Ovis aries: one gene and its partners. The protein of the gene in region 2 interacts with the protein of the main gene of each other region in a pairwise test. Links are inferred from orthologs where the notes say so. Each region holds a gene or a part of one and is shown on either strand. Other genes may lie near its edges.

What was found.
Region 1: the proteins of RBM17 (region 2) and QRICH1 interact in binary tests that used the Homo sapiens proteins (3 or more experiments, as listed by UniProt). The two-hybrid records come from large-scale screens. The link is inferred for Ovis aries from reciprocal best matches to the Homo sapiens genes RBM17 and QRICH1.
Region 3: the proteins of RBM17 (region 2) and PPP1R12C interact in binary tests that used the Homo sapiens proteins (3 or more experiments, as listed by UniProt). The two-hybrid records come from large-scale screens. The link is inferred for Ovis aries from reciprocal best matches to the Homo sapiens genes RBM17 and PPP1R12C.

What each region holds. Positions count from the first base shown.
Region 1 is NC_056072.1:50,995,339-51,002,371, reverse strand, and holds part of QRICH1 (transcriptional regulator QRICH1), read right to left. Parts: intron 4,351-7,033; coding exon 4,173-4,350; intron 3,614-4,172; coding exon 3,459-3,613; intron 2,313-3,458; coding exon 2,198-2,312; intron 1-2,197. UniProt on the Homo sapiens protein: Transcriptional regulator that acts as a mediator of the integrated stress response (ISR) through transcriptional control of protein homeostasis under conditions of ER stress.
Region 2 is NC_056066.1:10,893,282-10,899,877, reverse strand, and holds part of RBM17 (splicing factor 45), read right to left. Parts: intron 6,176-6,596; coding exon 6,034-6,175; intron 3,575-6,033; coding exon 3,423-3,574; intron 2,366-3,422; coding exon 2,292-2,365; intron 1,807-2,291; coding exon 1,708-1,806; intron 523-1,707; coding exon 450-522; intron 322-449; coding exon 218-321; 3' UTR 1-217. UniProt on the Homo sapiens protein: Splice factor that binds to the single-stranded 3'AG at the exon/intron border and promotes its utilization in the second catalytic step. Involved in the regulation of alternative splicing and the utilization of cryptic splice sites.
Region 3 is NC_056067.1:63,067,790-63,075,390, reverse strand, and holds the start of PPP1R12C (protein phosphatase 1 regulatory subunit 12C), read right to left. Parts: upstream 4,681-7,601; 5' UTR 4,532-4,680; coding exon 4,211-4,531; intron 644-4,210; coding exon 513-643; intron 430-512; coding exon 311-429; intron 1-310. UniProt on the Homo sapiens protein: Regulates myosin phosphatase activity.

The DNA of each region.
Region 1 (7,033 bases), on a different chromosome or scaffold from region 2:
ATGATATCTCCTTAGAGACGCTTCCTTCCTAACACCCTTAACACTTTCCATTCTCTGTGCTTTGTCCTTCGAAGTACTTAATTATCATAAATTAACTTGATTATTTATACAGTCTCCCCATATTAGACTGTAAACTTCCATTTTTTCACTACTGAATTGTATAATCTACACTTGGAACTGCCTGGCACACAGTAGGCACTCAAAAGGCATTTGTTTAAATGATACTTTAACACTTAAGCAGTAATCACGATGACAGATGATAACTAGACTAAATCCTTTCACAGTATACACCAACTGTATCAAGTCACTGTTCTACACCTGAAACTGCTACGCCAATTTTATCTCAGTCAGTATACATTTCATTAAATGGCAGAGCCAGGATTAGAACTCAGATATTTGTGTGGACATAAGTTTTTACGTCATCTGGGTAAAGAAGAAGAAGCATGACTGGTGCATCCTAAGGTAACATGTTTGGGAATTCAGCCGTTCTAACAGGCATATAATGTTATATCACTGTATCCATGTATGCATGCACATATGTATCAATATTTATGCAAGCCACTTGCTGAATCTCAGTTCCCCGACCAGAGACTGAACCCAGGCCACAGCAGTGAAAGCATCGAAACCTAACCATCAGGCCACCAGGGAACTCCCATCACTGCTGTTTTAATTTACAACTGACTGATGATATATATCTTTTCATATACTTATCTGCCACCTTCTTTGGTGAATCATGTGTTCAGATTAAAAAACAGGTAAAGGTTCTTTCTTTGTTATTGTTGACTGTTAAAAGTTCTTTATAAATTTTGGATATCAGCCCTTTGTCTGGTATGTGTTTTGTCAAGATTTCCTCCCAGTTTGTGGCTTGTCTTTCATTCTCTTAATAATGCCTTTCAGAGAGCATAAGTTTTTGCTTTTTAATTTTTAATAAAGTCCAACTTACCAATTTTTTTCCTTTCATACATTATTCTTTTTATGTTGTACCTAGAAAGTTACCACCAGACCTAACGTCACCTAGAGTTTCTATTTTACCTTCTAGGAGTTTTATAGTTTTACATTTGGGTCTATGATTCTTTTTTTTTTTTTTTCAATGTGTGGTTGTCCAGCTGTTCCAGCAGTGTTACTTGAAAAGACCATCCTGGGAATTTCCTGGAGGTTCAGTGGTTAGGACTCGACACTTTCACTACATGGCCCGGGTTGAATCCCTGGTCAGGGAACTAAGATCCCATGAGCCGCAGAGTAAAGCCAAAAAACAGAGAAAAAGAAAAAAGGACTATCCTTTCTCCATTTAACTGCCTTTGCCCCTTAGTCAAAGATAAATTCATTACACTCATGGGGCTTTACTTCTGGACTCTATACTCTGTCCCATGGATCTGTCTGTTCTTTCACCAAAGACCTGCACACAGTGTTTACAGCTGCTTTATTTATAAACTGCCAAAACATGGAAGCAACCAAAATGTCCTTTAATTGGTGAACAGATAAACAAACTGTGGCACATTCATAAAATGGACTACTACTCAGCAATAAAAAGAAATGAGCTATCAAGCCATGAAAAGACATGCAGGAACATTAAACGTATATTGCTAAGTGAAAGAAATTAATACTAAAGTATTCTAACTATATGACATTCTGAATAAGGCAAAACTATGGAGACAGTAAAACAGATCAGAGGTTGCCAGAGATTCAGGGGGATAAAGGGAGGGACGAATTAAGTGGAACCCTGGGGATCTGAGGGCAGCAAAACTTGTATGTGATACTGAATTGTAGGTACATATTATACACTGTCAAAAGCCACAAAATATACAACAGAACTCTAATGTAAACTACAGACTTAAGTTAACAACAAGGTATCAAATACTGGCTCCTCGATGTTAACAAATATACTACACTAATACAAGATACTAATAACAGGGGAGACACAGTGTGATGGAATACATGGAATTCCTTGTATATTCCACTTAGTTTTCCTGTAAACCTAAAACTGCTCTTAAAGAATATATTATTTTAAAAAATTATAATAAACAGCTCTGGTGAGCCATGCCCCTCCATACTGAGCCAAGCAGCACAGAGACCGACGCTGGGGCCTGCGATTTACAGCCTCCTCACCCACATGCTATTATCACAGCAAGCCACACAAGCAGCTTATCTTTTTTAAACCCAGGTTCAAAAGACATCCAAGGACTAGGAAGATTCTTACCAAGTGGAGTGACTCGGGGCTGAACGTCCTTCAGAACTTCATGCAGCCACTCCGTGAATCGAACATAATAAAGATCGGAGAAAATGTCATCAACCCGTCCGTTCTCAAAAAGATACTAAAAGGAAAATAATCAATAAAAGCTGTTGGTAGACTCTTGACAAGATGCTGAGGGAAGCAAACAATTACGAGCAGTACCCTCACATCTCCCTACCCGTTCGTCCCCCATTAACCAACCAGCACACTGAGTCAAAACCGCCCAGTGCGCGGCACTTCCACAGCATACTTCAGGATGGGAACTAACTCTCACAACACTCTTGAGAGTTGGCCAATGGAGCAGATTTCATGAATGCTACTTCACCCAAGCAAGGCACTGTCTTATGGTAGCAAAAAAGCATGATGCAGGCTCCAGGGCCAGTCTCTTACCAGCTACGGTGTAAGTTATGTAACTCATTTGAGTCTTGTAACTTTGGGGGCTCAGTGTCCTTGTGTGTAACTGGAGATGACTATGCCTGCCTTGCATGAGTGAGAGAGCATGGAATGAGACAAAGCACATACACTAATTCACCCAGTGCTCCCAGTGACTGCTAAAACAGACTAACAAAATGGGAGATGGGTTTTTCTCGGGCCCAAGCAACAGGGTGAGTCCCAGTCAGCAAGTGTTCTTCCATCACACCACGGGCTTCTCTACAATAGCATTCAAACACCAGGAAATCCCCATCTGGTCTCTGAAACTGCTGGTCCTAAAATGAATCTCCCTGTTCATCTTCATCTTAGATATCCTGAAAACCTAACTACAGTTGTATATTTTAGCTAGACTCTTTCAAATAATTATTTTGCATTAATGCAGGAAACAATGAGAAAATGAACTATATGTCAGCACCAGACTGTTCTGGAAAAATTGCTTTTCTGAAAACTAGATGTTTACTTTAACAAAAAGTGTTACATAAATGTTTCATAATTTTTTTTAAAAAGTCTCTAATGTAATATATCATATATTTTAACAAACATTTCTCTAGATTGAGGGATTATTTTATTATCTGATTTTCTAAAGTGAACATGTAGATCTTTTCCAATTTAAAAATAAAATGTACATTTAAAAACATTTCCAACTTTTAAAAAATGTACATTTAAAACCTCATTATATAGTTGGAAGAGAGTATCTTTACTGTTACCACTTTTGACATATTACTAATTTGACTACGCAGCAAATACCCAATGGGAACACAAGGCAAACAGGTTCCTACGCAGCTCGGTTCCCTACCTTTTGAATACACAGGAAAATGTAGTACAGCACATCTGGGTCATAGGGGTCACCTTCTCCATTTCGAGCTTCCCGTGTCATCAGACAGAGCCCATAATTCAACTCAGCCACAGCAGAGGAGATGAGATCTTCCTGGAATCGTAGCAACTGACGCCCTACAACATAAGTCCCAAAGGTCAGTGAGGGTCCTGGCAACAGTCATTTCCTTACTGGTTTCTCATATCCCTGGAAGGAGGTTACAGAGCAGACACCACCACCCATCAAGGCGCTGGGGTGAAAACAATCACTTGAATCTGTGATCAAAACTAACCTACAAAGACAATAATCCTGTTTGCCCTGTTACTAAAAGGGTTCCCGTCCCATCTCACATATCCCCCAATTATTAGGGCCACGAAATGAAAGCAAAAACACAAAACCCACCCTCTGTAATACGAGGAAGTATATGAGGATAATGCTAAGTAAGAGGCGCCCTAAGAACACTCACCAGCTCCTATCTCCTCCCAGAAGTCTCTGATCTTGGGCACACCCCACAAATCCTGCTCGTTTATAGCAGGTCCAGCCTGCCTCTTGTCTTGGATCCAGCACACTATTTCAGATGGAGCGCCCACATGCCCAGAGCCAAGAGATACACTTTCCTGCCATCCGTGCTCCTGCTGCTTCAGTGCCACTGCATTTCACACACAGTCCAACCCCCCTGCCCTCCAGAACACTTACTCCCAATGGGTGCCAGTCTGTTCTGAGCATCCTTCTCAAGCTCAGCATTCTTGGTCTGTGCCCAGTTTTTCCACACTTCAAGCCCTTCTTCTGGCTTCAGAGAATTTGGAAGCAGAAGTTCTGGTGAAGGCTGTGGCTGTGACTGGGGTTCAACTTCAGCAACCTGGACAGTTTGAGCCTATGAGAGAGAAATCATCAAAACGTGTCAATAGGTCGTTTGACAAAACAGCCAGAAAAATGCTATAACTCTTTTAACTAAAAAGCTGCTCTTCTGCTTGCTCTCCTAAACTTTGGAGTCCTGTTCTTTACTTCAGAGACAGCAAACGCTAGTACAAAGCTTCTTAATCTTAACTGTACTTTTGACTCTCTTATTTTAAAACACCAATACCTGAGCTCCACCCCAGAATCTCTTTTTAAAGAGGTATCAGTCTTTTTAAAATCTTCCCATGTAAAAAGGCAATTCTAATGTTTAGTCACTGCCCAGAGCTACTGGCAAAAAGCACTGCTCATCAACTACAATGTGCAAATAAATTTTATTAAAACGTGGATTCCGATTAGAAAGATCTCAGATGGGACCTGAGATTCTGCATTGCTAAGAAACCCCCAAGGAAGGGAGCTGGTCTTCAGACTACACTTTCTGTACCAAGAGTCCAGACTGTTAAACTTGGTTGCACCTTAAAATCATCTGGGCTGCTTTTAAAAAATATCCATGTCTGGGCCTTGTCCCTAGGGGCCCTGATTTACTTGGTCTAAGCTGGCGGCCTGCAGTCAGTACTTTTAAAAGCTCTCTTGGTTATTCTAATGTCCAGTCATGGCTGAGAATCATCATGTTTCTTCTTAATAATACTGCTTTGGCTCATAAGGACATTTTCTGAAGACAGGAAGCAATGTCTGAGCTTCCCACCTCCAAAGAGCAGTCCCATTCTCCATGGTCTGAGAGCTGAACTGTGCAGACAAAAGGACAGAGAATGTCCATGACCCTCAATCACAGTCCCCATTAGGCAGGACAGACACCAACACAGATACAAAGCACAGGTTCTTGGGTCTCACAAACCGGTCTAAATTGTAAAACAAATTCCCTAGAACAATTTTCTATTCCAGGGCCTACCTAAAGGGCTGACAAATGCCAAATCATTCAACTTGGAGGCTAAACAATGAATATATGACACATACATTTGCTTATCAATCAATAAAAATAAAAACTATCCAACTAGCTTTGATACAAGATACACTATTAAACAAGGAGACAACCAAATACCAGTGCCAGACTCTTAAACGTCTGTCAACCCTGGAGCTCCCCTCCAGACACACTTCTCAGTTCAACCACCATTCTTCTTGGTGAGTCTCCAACACCTGCCATTAGGATCTCCATGTTTGTGGAAACGGTTGCTAACTATGTGCCTCTAAGCTAGATCACGCCTTAATACACTCAATGGGTACTGTGTATCTCTGACTGAATATCTCAAAACCACCTCAAACTACTATCTAGGGAGAGAATTCATCGCTTTGCCCACCCAGAAGTATTCTCCTCAGACTTTCCTCCCTGTTGTTCAATGGCAACACTACCTACCCAAGTAGGAAAGCTAGGAGTCGACAGGATTAGCAGACGAGAGCAGTGCTTCTCTGTCTTAGCAGCCAGATTCTCTTCAGTGTGCCCCCACTCACTAAATGTAACACTCCCAACCACCTTGACAACCAAAATTCTTCCACACACATTCAAATGTCTATCAGTGGGTAAGGGAAATAGAAGTTTCATCCAGGTTAAAAACTACTGATGCAAGCACACCCCTGGTGTAGAGTTTTTCCTATTTACAATGGAGCCCTTAAAGAGCTGGGAAGTGATATAATCCTACATTTTAAGAATATTATTCTTGATCTATAGAAAATGGAATAGTGGAAGTAGGTGCTGGTGGCCAAGACCAGGATGGTGGCAGTCAAACGATTTAAGAGATTCTGATATGGTGGCAGAACCAACATGGCTTGTTGATGAACTCATTGTGAGGAGGAAGGGAACGCAGACTCAAGGACTCTGGGTCTCTGGCTTACATAACTAGGTAGATGACGGTATCATTTTCTGAGATGAATAGTTTTTCATAGTGGTAGAGGAGATGCTGATGAAGAGCTGAGATATCTTTAACAAATGCAAGTAAATAATAAGTGGGCTGCTGAACGTATAGTAAGGGTCTGAAGGGGAAAGGTACAGTCTAGTGATACAGAGCTGTGCGTCACTGCAGTACATGGACTGCACACAGGTTAACACATGGGCTTAGGGGCCCACCTATCCAAGGCTGAATGTCAACTCTGTCACTTGCTAAAAGGTGACTTTAATCTCTGTACCTCAGTTTCTTCATTTGTAAAATGGAGACAGTAGTACATACCTCTTAAGGTTGGTGTGAGAATTAAAAGAGTATTACATGTAACACTATGGACAGTGACTGGCAGAAGGTGTCAGTGATTATCACCTTCTGCAGCAGTCATCTAGAGGATTCTGAAAATCATGGCAATGGACAGAAATCCCCTGGGGGAGAAAAGAGCATTAGTATTGAGCTCTGAGTAACACCAACATGTATGGTTCAGACAGAGATGGAGGCTTCAGCAAAGTCTCCTGAGAAGGACAAATAACCAGTAGGGTAGGAGGAAATATCAGAGAAGTCCAGAGGAGAGTTTCAAGAAGGCAGGCTTGGTTTGCTCTGCTGTGTGTTGCTGTGAGTGAGATAAAAACAGATATGCCTGCTGGATCTGGCCATGGGGAGGTAGGTGAACAATGACCTTGACAAGAGCAGACCTGGTCATGAGCTGGAAGAGAAAACTGCTCAGTGAGTAGAGACAGCCTGTACAGATAATACTTGTGAAAACCGGGA
Region 2 (6,596 bases):
GCACACAGATTGCTTTTTGTTTGTTTTTTTTAAAAGGATTTTTATACTATATTAAAAAACCACAAAATAAAAAAGGGATCAGTCAACATATATCTTAGAAGTCTTACAGAGTCTCTGCACCCACAGCCATGAAGGCCCCTGACGCCTTGCTCTTCTCTGCTCAGTCTGCACCTCGATGAAGGACCGCTGGAGATGACTCAGGCTCTAGTTTTTAAAATCAAACTTGTTCTGCCAAATCCAGGACCCTGAATTTATCCAAATTGTAGAAACATGCTTTGACCACCCGTCCACCAAAATACCTCCCATTCAGATCAACAACAGCTAAAAGGCAAACAAAAAGACAGTTAGTTAAGGCAGGAATTCCACGAGACATTACAACAGTATGTCTTCAAAATATTAAGATCACAAGTTCAACTTTTTAATTCTTCATCATTAGCTGTACAGCTTACCTTTAATTGCTGACTCAACCCTCTCGAATTCTAAAAATATTCGTACTGCTTCATCATCAGGGGCACCAGGAATCTGGAAAAGAAATGGAGTACAGTAAGTAAAGATATCATCAGAGATGTCACGGACTGTGAGTTTTCCTCCGTAAAATGATTTTTGTCAGAGTGAGTGTTCCAATTCCAGACAAGCAGTGCTCAAATGCCAAAGACGTAAGTGTAATCTGCGTTTGTGTGTGCATGTGCACACTCAGTTGTGTCCAACTCTTTGTGACCTCATGGACGGTAGCCCACCAGGCTCCTCTGTCCATGGGATTTGCCAGGCAAGAATTCTGGGATGGGTTGCCATTTTCCTTTTCCAGTTAAGTGTAATTTACTTGTCATCAAAATTCACTGAACGTCTTTTTTTTGGACAGGCTGTGTGCTAAGTGCGAGCAAAAGGCAGCTAAACAAGACCTCTGCAGGTCCTATGCCATCAGACACATGAACAGATAATTATGCAGTCAACAGACGCAACCCAGCATGGAGGAGAAGCTGAGGTGAGCAGGAACTAAAATAAAACATCTGTATGCTGTCTCTCATACCAGGCTGAGTTCCTCTGTTAAGCTTTCTAGGCCCTGCTGCACTGTGTAAGCTAATCCCCACCACACCCACCACCGTGCAGCCCTCCCCAGTCTCCAGAAGCCATGACCCTATGTGAAGGCCCGTTCCCTCCTACCCAAATCCTACGCACACAGTCCAAAGCTCCGCTCACATCTGATACTGTTCACAAAGCCTCCTCCAACTATTCGGTATTGATCTAAGTCTTCTCTCAAATTCCTGTACTTGTAAGTCAGTGTTGAGTCTAGCAACTGAACACTCTCTAACTTCATGTTTCTTCAACTGAGTGTGTCACCGAGAGCACAGGAGGCCCCTCCCTGACCCCAGGACAGTCAGTACCGGTATGTGGGAGGCACTACATAAAATACCTGCCAAAAGAAGGAAGCCCAAGGCACATGTGACGCCCGTCAGTAAACTACTGAGCCCACTGTCATCAAGTCTAAACGTCAGTCACAAAATGAAATGTCTCTTCACCAAATAAAATTTGAAGTTCTTCTTATGCTAATATCTGAAATTGCAATAACTGAGTAAAAGCAGTATAACTAACCAACACATGTCACCTTCTAAAGACAGTATGTTACTTACAATGCATCCTCTATTTACAGAAAATGCTTTGTGACCTATCAATCATAACTTGGGTTATAAACAAAGAAATCTCTCTTACTTCAAATATCACACATTTTCCAACTTTGCCATATTTCTCACACTCTTCCTTGGTTTCTACTTCCAAGTCTTCATCCACCTCTCCTGCACCAACCATGTTCTAGAAACAAAAATAAACATATAAATTCCAGTACTGAGTATAATTGACAACTATGTCAAAGAGATGTATAAGTAACTTTTTTCCAAGATGGCAAATGTTTCCAAACCCAAATGATTCAAAGAAAATTTTCATTCCTGAAATATCCTGAAGTAGGTTAGTTTTTTTAAAAAAATTAAAAAATATACATTAGGCTTCAATAAGAGTTACCAGAGCAACTGGGCAAGCACCAGAATACACAAACCAAGCTGAATTTCTGACAACTTCAAACATTTTAAAGTAATTTCTCACTGTAGTCTTAAATACTAATGTTTAGCAAAGAAACACTAGTGAAAAGGAATCTAAAAACCAGTCTTCCAGGGAGTCTTCCCACAATTACCACCTTCAGTTCGCTTCAGCTATCCCATCATCAGCCGGGCTGACTGATTGCAGGGACAGGGTGGGGGGAGGGACACAGGGCAAACAGGGCTCCTCCCTCAGCTCCTTACCCTGAGTAGGACCACTTTGGTAGGACACTTAAGTATTTCAGTTAATGGATTTGAATCTGACTTCTTGGCTGCGTCTGTAAGAAAACATCATCAGACAGAAGTGTCAGGGCACCAAGTCTAAGTTACAACGAGCAATTTACTTTGAACACCAATCCCCACTCTCTATGTCCTAGAGCCAGCATCTACACAGTCTCTGAGCCAAGATGTAGCCTTTCCTATCCGAAAGCATCACTTTACTTTGGTATAATTTTTACCATAAATTCTAGAACTTTTTAATATCCTCAGGTGCATTTTTGCTTAGCTCACTTCCTAAAGGGCCAACAGGGCACAGTGATCACCACCCTCAGAAGCGAGTCTTGACTCAGGCAGTGGTCAGAGGTCGTGAGCCCAGTGTAAACGAGCAGTTCATCAGCCAGCCGTGAGCTGACCAGTGTCAAATACCCCCACAGACTGGGCTGACTGCTGGTTTCTGGTTCCAGCCTGTGAGGCTTAGTGCTGCTTCAAGCTCGACGTCAACATGCCTGGCAGGAAAGTTCTCTTCCTTCTTCAGGAAAAAGCATTCAGCTAAGACTGATTCAAAACTACGGAGTTCTCCTGCTTGAAGTGCTAAATCATGCCTGACTCATTCCAGCGTGCCCTCACTACAGAACAGACTGTAACAGTCAAATGAAAATAGAACACCAAGCAGGCATCACCTACCAGAAGACTGCAAAATAATGCTAGTTTTACAGAGCAGTCAGTAAGAAAATTAGGATGAAAGGGCAGAAAAAAGCAAAAAGCAGAGAACCCTTACAGAATAGAGATACAGCAGAAAGAATTACTGATATACTGCGTATGGCTCTGCGTTGCTATAAAAACTCAGTAACGGTTCTATCAGTATAACAAGGCTCTTTCCCGAGGAGAAGCAGGCATGACAGGATTTCTGGAGTCCTGTTCATTGCTGCCAAAGCCTCTCGTCTTCTTTTCCTCCCACAGGCGTTCTGTCTCTCTGTCTTGAACTATTTGTAAAGATGGGCCTCAGAACTGTTTCCACCACCCAGAGCTGGAAGGCATCACGATGAGGAATTCTCTCATTCAGGATGGCCTGCCCCCGCCCACACCCCCAGGAGCCCTGCCCGAGGGGAGGCCCACCTTTCTCGGTGGCATCGCCCACGATGATCTTGCCGCCCCGCTTGCTGGTCTTCTCCACCGACAGCGCTGTACTCAGACCCTGCTCATGCTTCCCGAGACCCTGGCCTTCCCGGAAGCCATACTTCTGCATGATTTTATGTGCTACCGTGCCCCTGCGAGGAGGAAAAGGAGAAAGGTCCCTGTACTTGGGCCATCAGCTACAGCACAGATTGGATTTTACATCACAGTAATCTCCTTCCGGGAGGAGAGAATGTAGATTCCACAAGGGCGTTGATGATGCCATTTATCTACTAACGGGCTAAGAGACAGAAGTTGTGGGATGTTCAGAAGACAGATTAAAAAGTGGATGCTGGAATCCTGGGTGCACTGAGATTACCTCTGAGGTGAAGGAAACACTAGTTCCTCTGGTAAGAGCTCCCCAGGGAACTGCATTTTCTGTTAGAAAATACCAGACTTCCTGGGTGCCCCTGTACCTGCTCTGCTACAAGGCTCATAACCAATTTAAGTAATCCTGTCAAAAACTAAGTATAGTCTCATGTAATGAAGATGACTGCATTTTTCTAAGTAGTACAGAAGAGTTTCCAATGACTGGCTTCATAAATGAAGGATGCTTAAGGACTATCTGTTTAATAGATGGAAATAAAGAAACTGGGGCCCACAGTGGCTGCCTCGCTTAAGGCTGACTGACAGCAAAGCAAGACACCACATGTTGGTATTAACAGCAGGACTGAAACTGAAACCCGCAGCTCTGAATTCTTAGTCCACTGCTCTTCCTCTAATCAGTAACAGCTTTCAAACTACACAGGGAGGAGCCTCAGGGGCACTGACCACTGCTTCTTAGGGCCTGAACCCCAAAACCCTGCTTCAACCCGAACTGTTCCGTTCAGCTCAGTCGCTCAGTCGTGTCTGACTCTTTGCGACCCCATGAATCACAGCACGCCAGGCCTCCCTGTCCATCACTAACTCCCAGAGTTTACCCAAACTCATGTCCATCGAGTCAGTGATGCCATCCAGCCATCTCATCCTCTGTCGTCCCCTTCTCCTGCCCTCAATCCCTCCCAGCATCAGAGTCTTTTCCAATGAGTCAACTCTTCGCATGAGGTGGCCAAAGTATTGGAGCTTCCGCTTCAGCATCAGTCCTTCCAATGAACACCCAGGACTGATCTCCTTTAGGATGGACTGGCTGGATCTCCTTGCAGTCCAAGGGACTCTCAAGAGTCTTCTCTAACACCACAGTTCAAAAGCATCAATTCTTCAGCATTCAGCTTTCTTCACAGTCCAACTCTAACATCCATACATGACCACTGGAAAAACCATAGCCTGGACTAGACGGACCTTACCTACGTTTTTCACATACGTAATTTCCTTAAATATTTCATTTGAACAAGTTGTTCCAGGGCTAAAAAGACTGAAGACTGATAACTGTACTATACTGTACCTTCTTTAGGCATAAAGATTTAATACCTTTCTCTTGCCAGTAATAAGGCAATTTTTTTCACCAGCAAAAAAACAAAACCAGCCCCCAGTGATGTCACGCCTGTGCCCCTTCAGTACACTCCAGGACAGCCCAACAGGCTTCTCTCCAATGAGGGGAACATCCTCTGTCTGCACTGCCCAGGGCAGTAGCTGTGAGCTTTGTGTGGCTACTGAGCACTCGAGACTAGCGTGAGGAAAGAAATATATGCTGAACTCTATTCACGTTCAATTACTTCAAGAGCCCTGAGTGGCCAGGAGCCCCCAGAGAACAGCACAGGTCAAGAAGACAGGTATCAAGATGAGAACTCCAAATCCTCTCACAGCGTGTGAAGAACCCTGGCCCGCTCCTCAGCTCTGGCCAGCCCGGCCCCGAAGGAGCGAAGGCAGAATCAAAGCGCTCACATAGGCGAGGGCAGACCAGAGAGGCCTCTGCAGACACAGCCTCTCCATCAGAGGCGCCCTCCTTCTAGAGGACAGAGAGCAAAGGCCTCAGCGCAACGCTGCTCCACTGCCACCCCCCAGAGTGCTAGCGGAATAAACAATACACAACACTCTCTTAACCAAAACACATGCCAAATCCAGCAAGTCCTAAAAAGCCCCACAAGCCCCACCCGAAGTCAACCTTAAAACTGATTTTCAAACACTGGCAAACAAATTTCTAATTATAAGTAGAATAACTGAAAGTTTTTATACCAAAAGTATAATAGACTCATGACCTTAAAGCAAAGGTCATTTTATCAAGAAAAAAAAAGGATGTCATTCATCTTTTGGACATAGTGTAAGTCAGGTCTAATTCGTATGAGCTGTTTATTTGCAAATGTTCTGAAAACAATTATAGATAACAATCAGAAACTGTTCCTACCTAGAGAATATAATGTTCAGCATCCTAATCACTCAACACTTCTGATAGAAAGCTTGTAACAAAAGTTTTTTAACAGGGTGGTGCTGCAATACCCTCCCAGTGACTCAAGCCTTGATCCGTGTGACTGAGCATGCCACGCTCTCCTTGTAAACCCGCTAAAGCCCTCATCTCCAAACGCGCTGCATCCACTGGAAGGTCTGACCACACCACCCCTGCCCCCCTAGAGTCCCACCCTCCCTGCACCCGCCGAGGCGCAAGTGCCCGGACCATTACCCCATGTTGGCGAGGAAGGAGTTGCCAGGGCCGGTTGGGGATCGGGGTCTGTCTTGTTCCTCGTACACTGGGGGAGGGATAGCAGCTTTGGAAGACTGTGAGCGAGGTCGTGAATCCTCTTCGTAAGGGAAGTCTCGGGGTACTGTTGGATGACAGGAAACAGGATTTTATTTTTTGTGCCTCCTTATGCCAGCATACAACAAAGGTCTCTGAGGTCAGGGACCACATGCCAGTTCAGTGAAATGCAACCCCAGCTGTGCAACAGAATCAGCAAGGAAGCTCAGAGAGCTCCAGATGCTTGGGCTCCACTCCCAGAGACTGGTTTCAGTTGGGGTTTATGGTTTGTCAGGTATTTTCATTATTAACTTTTTTTTCCCTCTATTATCTTCTTAATAAAAAGGTAACATTCATAGTGCAATAGGTACTTAAAAACTTGGGGGATGGTTACATTTTCTTGGGATAGTTTCGGCATGCTCCAACACAGAGAGCAGGAAAATGAACTAGAAGATGCATCAAAGTCCAGTTCCAATCCCCAATCTGAGAGCCGATCCCTGGAGATGACT
Region 3 (7,601 bases), on a different chromosome or scaffold from region 2:
TGAGCGTGGCCAGGCACAGAGCTTAGGGGGTCCTGGGCCCCGTTAAGGACCCTGGGGCGCAGTGATCCCGAGTACTGCAGACCAGACCCCCAGAAGACTCGGCATTCCTCCACTGCCCCCCACCCCGCAGCACAACTCCTGAGAAGACCCACCATCACCCGGGACAAGCGCCAAACTCAGTTTCCTCAGTCACCCCGAGAACGAGCCAAGCCCTGCCTCAATGACTTCTCGGGTTAAACGGTCCAGGCCACACTGAGACCCTGGGGTCCGGGCCCTTGGCAACGAGCCCCGCACCCCGCCCCAGGCCCACCTCGGCGGGCGATCTCCGCCTTCAGCAGCGCCTCCATGGCGTCGGACTCAGCCAGGTCCAGAGGCAGGTCCCCGTCGCTGTTGACCGCAGCGATGTTAGCTCCATGGCTCAGGAGGTACCTGGGGAGGTAGGGGCGGGCCGCGGTCAGGACGGAGGCATCCGGGCCGCATGCCCAGCGGGCCGCCCACCCTCCCCACCTCACCTGGCAATGTCCAGGTAACCGCAGGAGGCGGCCACGTGGAGGGGCGTCCAGCCCTCGTTGTCCGCCTGGTTCACTGTGGCACCCTGCTCCACCAGGAAGCGCACCACCTCAAGGTTCTCGTCGATGCAGGCCTGGGGGGCATGGTCGGGGGTCACCCTCACCACCCCGGACCCCTCCGCGTGCCTTGCAAGGCAGGACCCCGCCAGGGCCTCGAGGGGGACCCAGGGCCGACCGAGCAAAGCTCCAGAGGAAGACCCCAAGGTCCCTGGAAGGCACCATGTCCGCAGGGCACCCCCAGCCCTGCGCAGCCTGGCTTCCCGGTGGCCACGCCAGGCAGGCCTCTGGGGCTCACTGGGGACCGTGAGAGGAGGAGCTGGCCAGAGAGGAGAGGAGCTGTAGGGATCCTGAACCATGCTTGTTCACGAGACGCACCCCAGTCACCATGGAGGATGGGCCCCCAGAGCTGAACCCAAGGGAAGAGACCCAGGCCCTCCTCCTCAGACCCAGCAGACTCTCCAGGAGAGCTGACCACCACCCTGCCGTGTCCCTGGTAGGGAGACAGCCGGACCCTGGGGCCCAAGGCCATGCGGGGTCCCCAGGCCCCTGCGAACCTGGGAGTGGGGCGGGGCGGTGGTGAGGGCCCTGGGCAGGACCCCGACACTGGGAGAGGCGGCTGAGAGAGGGTGTGCCCAGGCCTGGGCCCGAGGAGAGGCACAGGGCCCCCCATCATGGGCGTCCACGGGCACCTTCCCCACTGAGGGCTGTGAGGATCCCCTCTGATGGAGGAAGAGATCCCAGCCCCAGGAGACCAAAGCCCCTGCCCGCGCTAGCGCAGCAGGCTGGGCCAGAGAAAGGGTTTTGCCCAGGGCGCGTGCAAACACGCGGCGGGCACTGGGCCTGAGCAGGGCTGAGGAACGGGAGTGGACCTGGCCTCCTGGGTCCTCAGGGGAGATCAGTCTCCGACTCCCTCACCTCTCCACGGCCGGCCGCCTGGAGCAAGGGGAGGAAGCTACGAGGGCCAAGAGCATGAAGTCATGGAAACTCAGGCTGCGAAAGGGGGGCCACACATGCCCTGGGAACGGGATGAACTCTGGGCACCGTTTATTTCCACCAGTTGCCATGGTGATGGGGGGGGGGGGCAAGGAGGGAGACAGGCCTTTCCCTTTCAAGGACCTGGCCGGGCACAGGCATCCGTGCGAAAGATGTCTGCGTCCTGGGCCCCAGGGACCAAGAATCCAGGCCCCACCCTCCTCCTCAGACCTGGGGGTCCAGGGTCCCCACCACTCCCCCCTCAGACCCGGGGGGTCCAGGCCCCACCCTCCTCCGACCTGGGGGTCTAAGTCCCCCGCCCCTCCCCCCTCAGACCTGGGGGTCCAGGCCCCCCACCCCTCCCCCCTCAGACCCAGGGAACCTAGACTCTCCGACCCCCTCCCTATTTACACCTAAGAATCCTGGCTCACAGTCCTTCCTATCCCAGACCCCAGTTGCTAATTACCAGGTAATCTGGGGATGAGGCAGCCTATACCGGCCTTGTCACCTTGTCGAGGGGTAGGGGCTGGGATGTGAGACCTCCTGGGGTCACAGCCAGAGCAGGGAGCTGATGCCAGGGGACCTGCTCCAGGGGGAACAGAAACCACGGCTGCCGGACTCGCCCAGACAACATGAGCAACTATCCCGCGGGCCTGTCCGGGGGTTTCCTGGGACCTGGGACTTTCTGAGCTAAAACGAGGCCAGTCTTGGGCAAACTGGCACAAGCTGGTCAGCAAACACCCAGACCCAAAGCCCCGCTCCCCTGCTCGCTCACTGGCTGGGCGACTCCCCTTCTCTGCGCCTCAGATGGATGCCCTGATCCCCTCCAGGCCTCCCGCAGAGCCCTGGCGAGTGACTTCCTCTTGCCTATAGCAGGAGGCCGAGAGGGATCCCAGGGTGGCCTTCTGCCAGGCAGGGTCTGGGCCAAGGGACAAGCTGGGGAGCGCAACCCAGCAGGAAAGGTAGGGCCAGGAACGCCTTCAGAAAGGCCCCAGGGAGCCGGGGCAGGGATGGCAGTGCAGGAAGGGGACTCGGAAACCTGAGGCCCCTGTCCCAGGCGTGTCGAGCTCTGAGACCCTGCGGGACCTCAGGAAGGGGGACCCTCCTCTACACTGGGGCTCCTGCAGGGCACGGGCCTGGGGGTGCAGGTGGGGGAGAGACGGCACCTGGGCCAGGGGCTGCAACCACCAACTGGACAGGCACTTCCTGCAGGGTGTCCCTGCCAACCCATTCACAGGCAAGAAGCCCAAGGCACAGAGAAAAGACCCGCATTCAAAGCCACTCACTTGAGGAGCCGAGATCAGAGCTCAGGACTGGCCTACCTTCCTGAGCTGCTGCTCCTCCTGGGAAGCTGGCACGTGGGCCCTCCCGGCCTCCTCCGCAGCCCCCTGCTCCCTGCCCAGGTTTCCTTCCCTGGGTCCTCTCTGGGTCCCAAAGTAACCAAACCCTAGGGGTTCCGGCAGGGAAGAGAGGGTTGGGGACTGGACCAATTCGAGGAGACTAGGAGGGAGACAGCCTCGGGGACAGGGGTCCTCTGTGAACTGTGCCTGATGGCCCCACTGAAGAAAGGGGGGGTGGGGTGGGGGGCGACAGGAGCACCCCAAACCAGAGGGAACCCTGCTAGTGGGGCCTACGGTGGGCCTGGTTCTGGAACAGAAGAAGCTCAAAGGCAGTGGCCGGCGCGTCTGGGGAAGGCACGAGGGCCCAGGCTGTGGACAGAGGGGAGTAACCCGGCTCTGGACCTCTTGAGAAGGTGACAAGATGGGGGCTGGGAGAGAGGACACACTCTGCGGGAGGGAGGCGCTGCCCAGATTCACAGGAGGGGATCCAGGCAGAGAATGCAAGGTGACCAGAGGACAGAGAGGCAGCCCAAAGCCAGGAAGAGGTGGGTGCCAGAAAAAAAGGGGGGGTGATGATGCAGGCCTGGCCAAAGCAACAGGAGAGAGAGAGGAAGTTCCTGGAGGAGAAACACCCCTGGGAGAAGGCCTTGCCTTGGGAGGCAAGAGGTGGCACAGCCCCAGAAAGATAAATGACGGAGGGCATGAGGGTAAAGGGGGGCAGGGGAGACGGCCTGAGCTGACCCGGGCAAGGGAAGCACCCACTTCAGGAGTACAGAGCCTCGAAGGCGGGGGCTCAGGAAAGAACACCCTTAGATAGCAACAGATGGCACGGGCAGGGATGACAGGCGGCCCCACGCAGAGAGGCCGGGCGCCAGGGAGAACACAGGCAGGGAGGACGGCGATGGGGGTGGAAGGGTGGGGCAGTGGTACCTATGGGGGAACAGGAGGCACCGGTGGGGCTACAAGGGGCACAGACTCAGGAAAGAGGGAGGCCCAACTCCAGATGGCAGAGTCGAGGTGGCACCGGTGGCGATCGCACGGGCGAGACTCGCAGAGAGCCCCCAAGGTCGGGAAAGAGCACAGCGAAGTGACAAGACGGGGATGCACCGCGCTGAGGCCGGCAGCGACGGTTCGGGGCCAGGAAAGGGCGGCTCAGATTGGCAAAAGCCAGCGTCAGCTCCAGCGGCTCAGGGTCGGGAGAGGGGAGCCCCAGGTGGGACGGAGGGGAATGGGGGTCCGCCGCGGACGACGGCGCAGAGCAGGGCCGGCCGGGGTGCCTCCAGGCCGGGGAGGGAGGGTGCTCCGGGCGGCGCAGACCCGGGAGCTGACCTGGTGCAGGGCGCTGATGCCGTCGGCGTTGGTGGAGTCGAGCACGGCGCGGGCGGGCGGCGGGGCGGCGGGGTCCAGCTCTGCGCCGGGGCTGGGGTCGGCCGCGCGCAGCATCAGGCGCGCCTCGTCCAGGTCGCCGCCCGCGCAGGCCGCCAGGAACTCGGCGGCGCGCTCGAAGCGCACGGTGCGGGCGCGCCGCTCCCCGGGGCCCGGCTCGGCGCCCGCCCGCGCCCCCCACTGCCGCAGCTGCTCCCGCCGCCGCTCGCGGGCCGCTGCTGCCGCCGCCCCGGGGCCCGCCCCGGGGCCGTCCTCGCCCGACATCGCGCCGCCCGCCCGCCCGTGAGCGAACGAGCGAGCGAGCGAGCACCGAGCCCCAAGCTGCTGCTGCTGCTGCCGCCGCCGCCGCCGCCGCCGCCGCCCGCCCCCGGGCCGCCGGGAACTGCCGCCAGCCCCGCGCCGCCCAAGGATCTACCGGCACCCGCCCGGCGCGTGACGTCACCACGCCGCCCCGGGGCGCGCTGGGAAATGGAGTCCGCAGTCGGGAGAGGTCGTGGCAACAGCCTCAGAGAAGGCCGCGGGGCGCTCTGGGAAACGGAGTCCACAAGCGGACAACGGTCTCGGCCACATTCCGGCCTCGATCTGCCCCGAGGCACACTGGGAAATTCGCGGCTCAGCAGTTTCAAAAGGAAATCTGATTAAGAGGATGCCCCTGGGGGTGCTGGGAAATGTAGTCTAAAGGCCGGATATGTGCCCCGGGGCATGTGGGAAATGTAGTTCACAGTATCAAGGAACCCAAGCGGGAAACAGACTTGATAACCCGGGAGTCCTAAAAAATACAGAACTAATTTTTCCATACACCTTACCGCTTTCCTCATACCATGTGACTTACTTATTTTGGGTTTGTCTTATCCCTTCAACTAGAAATAAGCCCCTGGAGAACAGGGATTTTTGTCGTCTTGTGCATCCCTATTCCCATTGCCGAGACCTAATAAAACGCGATCGGGAAGAGGATTTTGAATGAATGAATAAATGAATGGATTCCCTAGGTCCTGAGAACCTCCAGATACTATGGGAAATTGAGTTCTCAACCCTTACACCAAGAAAATCCCTGGGCGACCGCCCAGGGCACCTTGGGAAGTAAAAATTACGGTACAAAGGTCACGGCAATCGGCCGCTGGGCACGCTGGGAAACGTAGTACTCGGGGCCACGACCCTAAAGGTACGGTTGGTCCAAAGCACCCCAAGTCCCTGATGGAACTCCTGGGTTACATCAAGAAGGGAACTCAAGAGGCAGGATCCGCAATAACAGCTCCTCAGAGCCTTCACCGGCCCTCCCCTCTACTCGCTACCATCTTGGGACGTGGAGCAGTCTGGGAAATGTAGTCCGGGCTGCTCGTCCTCGCAAGCCATGCTGGGATTTGTAGTCCAAGGCGAGGACTTTTTAATGGACGTGGAGGGGGAGTTGACTCATACATAACATCATAAAGCACGATGTGAGCCTCGTCTTAAGTACTCTGCACCTTAATCTTCATTGGGAAGGAAGCAAACACTCCGAGACTAGAGAAAAGACCTATAAAAATCACAAAGCTGCTGCGGCTTCTAAGTTGCTTCAGTCGTGTCCGACTCTGTGCGACCCCGTAGATGGCAGCCCACCAGGCTCCCCCGTCCCTGAGATTCTCCAGGCAAGAACACTGGAGGGAGTTGCCATTTCCTTCTCCAATGCATGAAAGTGAAAAGTGAAAGTGAAGTCGCTCAGTCGTGTGCGACTCCTAGCGACCCCATGGACTGCAGCCTACCAGGCTTCCCGGTCCATGGAATTTTCCAGCAAGAGTACTGGAGTGGGGTGCCATTGCCTTCTCCGAAAATCACAAAGAATGGCTCTGAAGTACAGAGGCAAGAGTTCTGTTTTCCAAGGGATGTCAGATCAGCTCTACCCACTCTAAAGTTCTTGGGCCTGTGCTAAGAGATAAAGGACAGATCCCGTGAAGTCTGGAGACCACTGGGATGGATACAAAAGGAATAGCAGTTCGGGTGGCTTTGGGGATGTGTAGCCCTTTCAATCCCACACTTCCCATTCAACGTATACACCCACCTTCTTCTTCAGGCAGCTTGAATGGTGTGTATGTTGTTAGGGTGTCTTCGGTTATCTGTGTCTCTCTAAAGTAAAAAGTGAAGTCGCTCAGTTGTGTCCGACTCTTTGCGACCCCGTGGACTGTAGCCCACCAGGCTCCTCTGTCCGTGGGATTCTCCAGGCAAGAGTACTGGAGTGGGTTGCCATTGCCTTCTCCAGAGGGTCTTCCTGACCTGTGCATAACTGTGATGTGTGTCTTTGTGGTTGTGTCTGTAGCCTGGTGTATACTGTTTTTGGAAGCTTGTGTTCATTGTGTCTATAAGCTGTGATGTAAATATGTCTATAGTTTTATGATTTTTATTTACAGGAGACACAGGTTAGAGTATCTGCTCAACCTACACAACCTACTATGGGACATGCTCCCACTGTAAGTTTCGTTAGCAATCTTTAGGTTGACTGCTGCGTTTAGACTTGAACCTCTGTTTACCACATTCTATTCTACTGCAATGGATAAGAATCCCAGCTCTGGTACAGGCATTCCTGGATTTGATCTTGTCTCTTGACACTTCCTAACTGTGGGGTCTGATCGAGGACCTAGGCTTAATCTCTTCATCTCTGCCTCCAGGAGCTGTTGCAACGGTGTACCTGGCCTGTCTCGTAGGCAGACGTTGGCTCTGTACAGACATTTTTATATTTTACTCATTACAATTCTCTTCTGCCCTTCTCTTTTCCACGGTGAGGGGTTTGGTTTTTTTTTTCACTTCTCAAGCCTGCTGTTTTCTCTCAATGCTAGCACTGGAATGTTGATGCTTAACCTCACAGCTGGTGAAAATAGCCTTGGAAAGATAACATGTTCCCTTTTTCCCTGCAAGAGGCAGAAAAACTGACCTCATAAAGATGGTTTGGATAAAGGGATGCAACAGGACATTCACAAAGTATCAAGTCGACTCCTCTATTCTGTGAGAAAACAGGGGTAAGCATAGTAGAAGTCAGTTCTAATTTCTATTTTAACTGACCTTGAAAGAGTTTTTTGCACAAAGGAACCTTTTACATTTAACAGAGAATTATATTGTTAGGATTTCCCTGGTGGTCCAGTGGATAAGACTCCATGCTCCCAGTGAAAGGGACATGGGTTCGACCCCTGGTCGGGGAACTAAGATCCCACATACAGCAAGTACTGAGAACACGAACCGCAGCTAGAGAAACCCACACCTCAGTGAAGAGCCAGAACAGCCAAAATAAATACCTATTAATTAATTGTTAAAAAGAGAGAGAATTATATTGAGAAAGGCACCCCGTGGCTGACCTGCTGTGACTTTC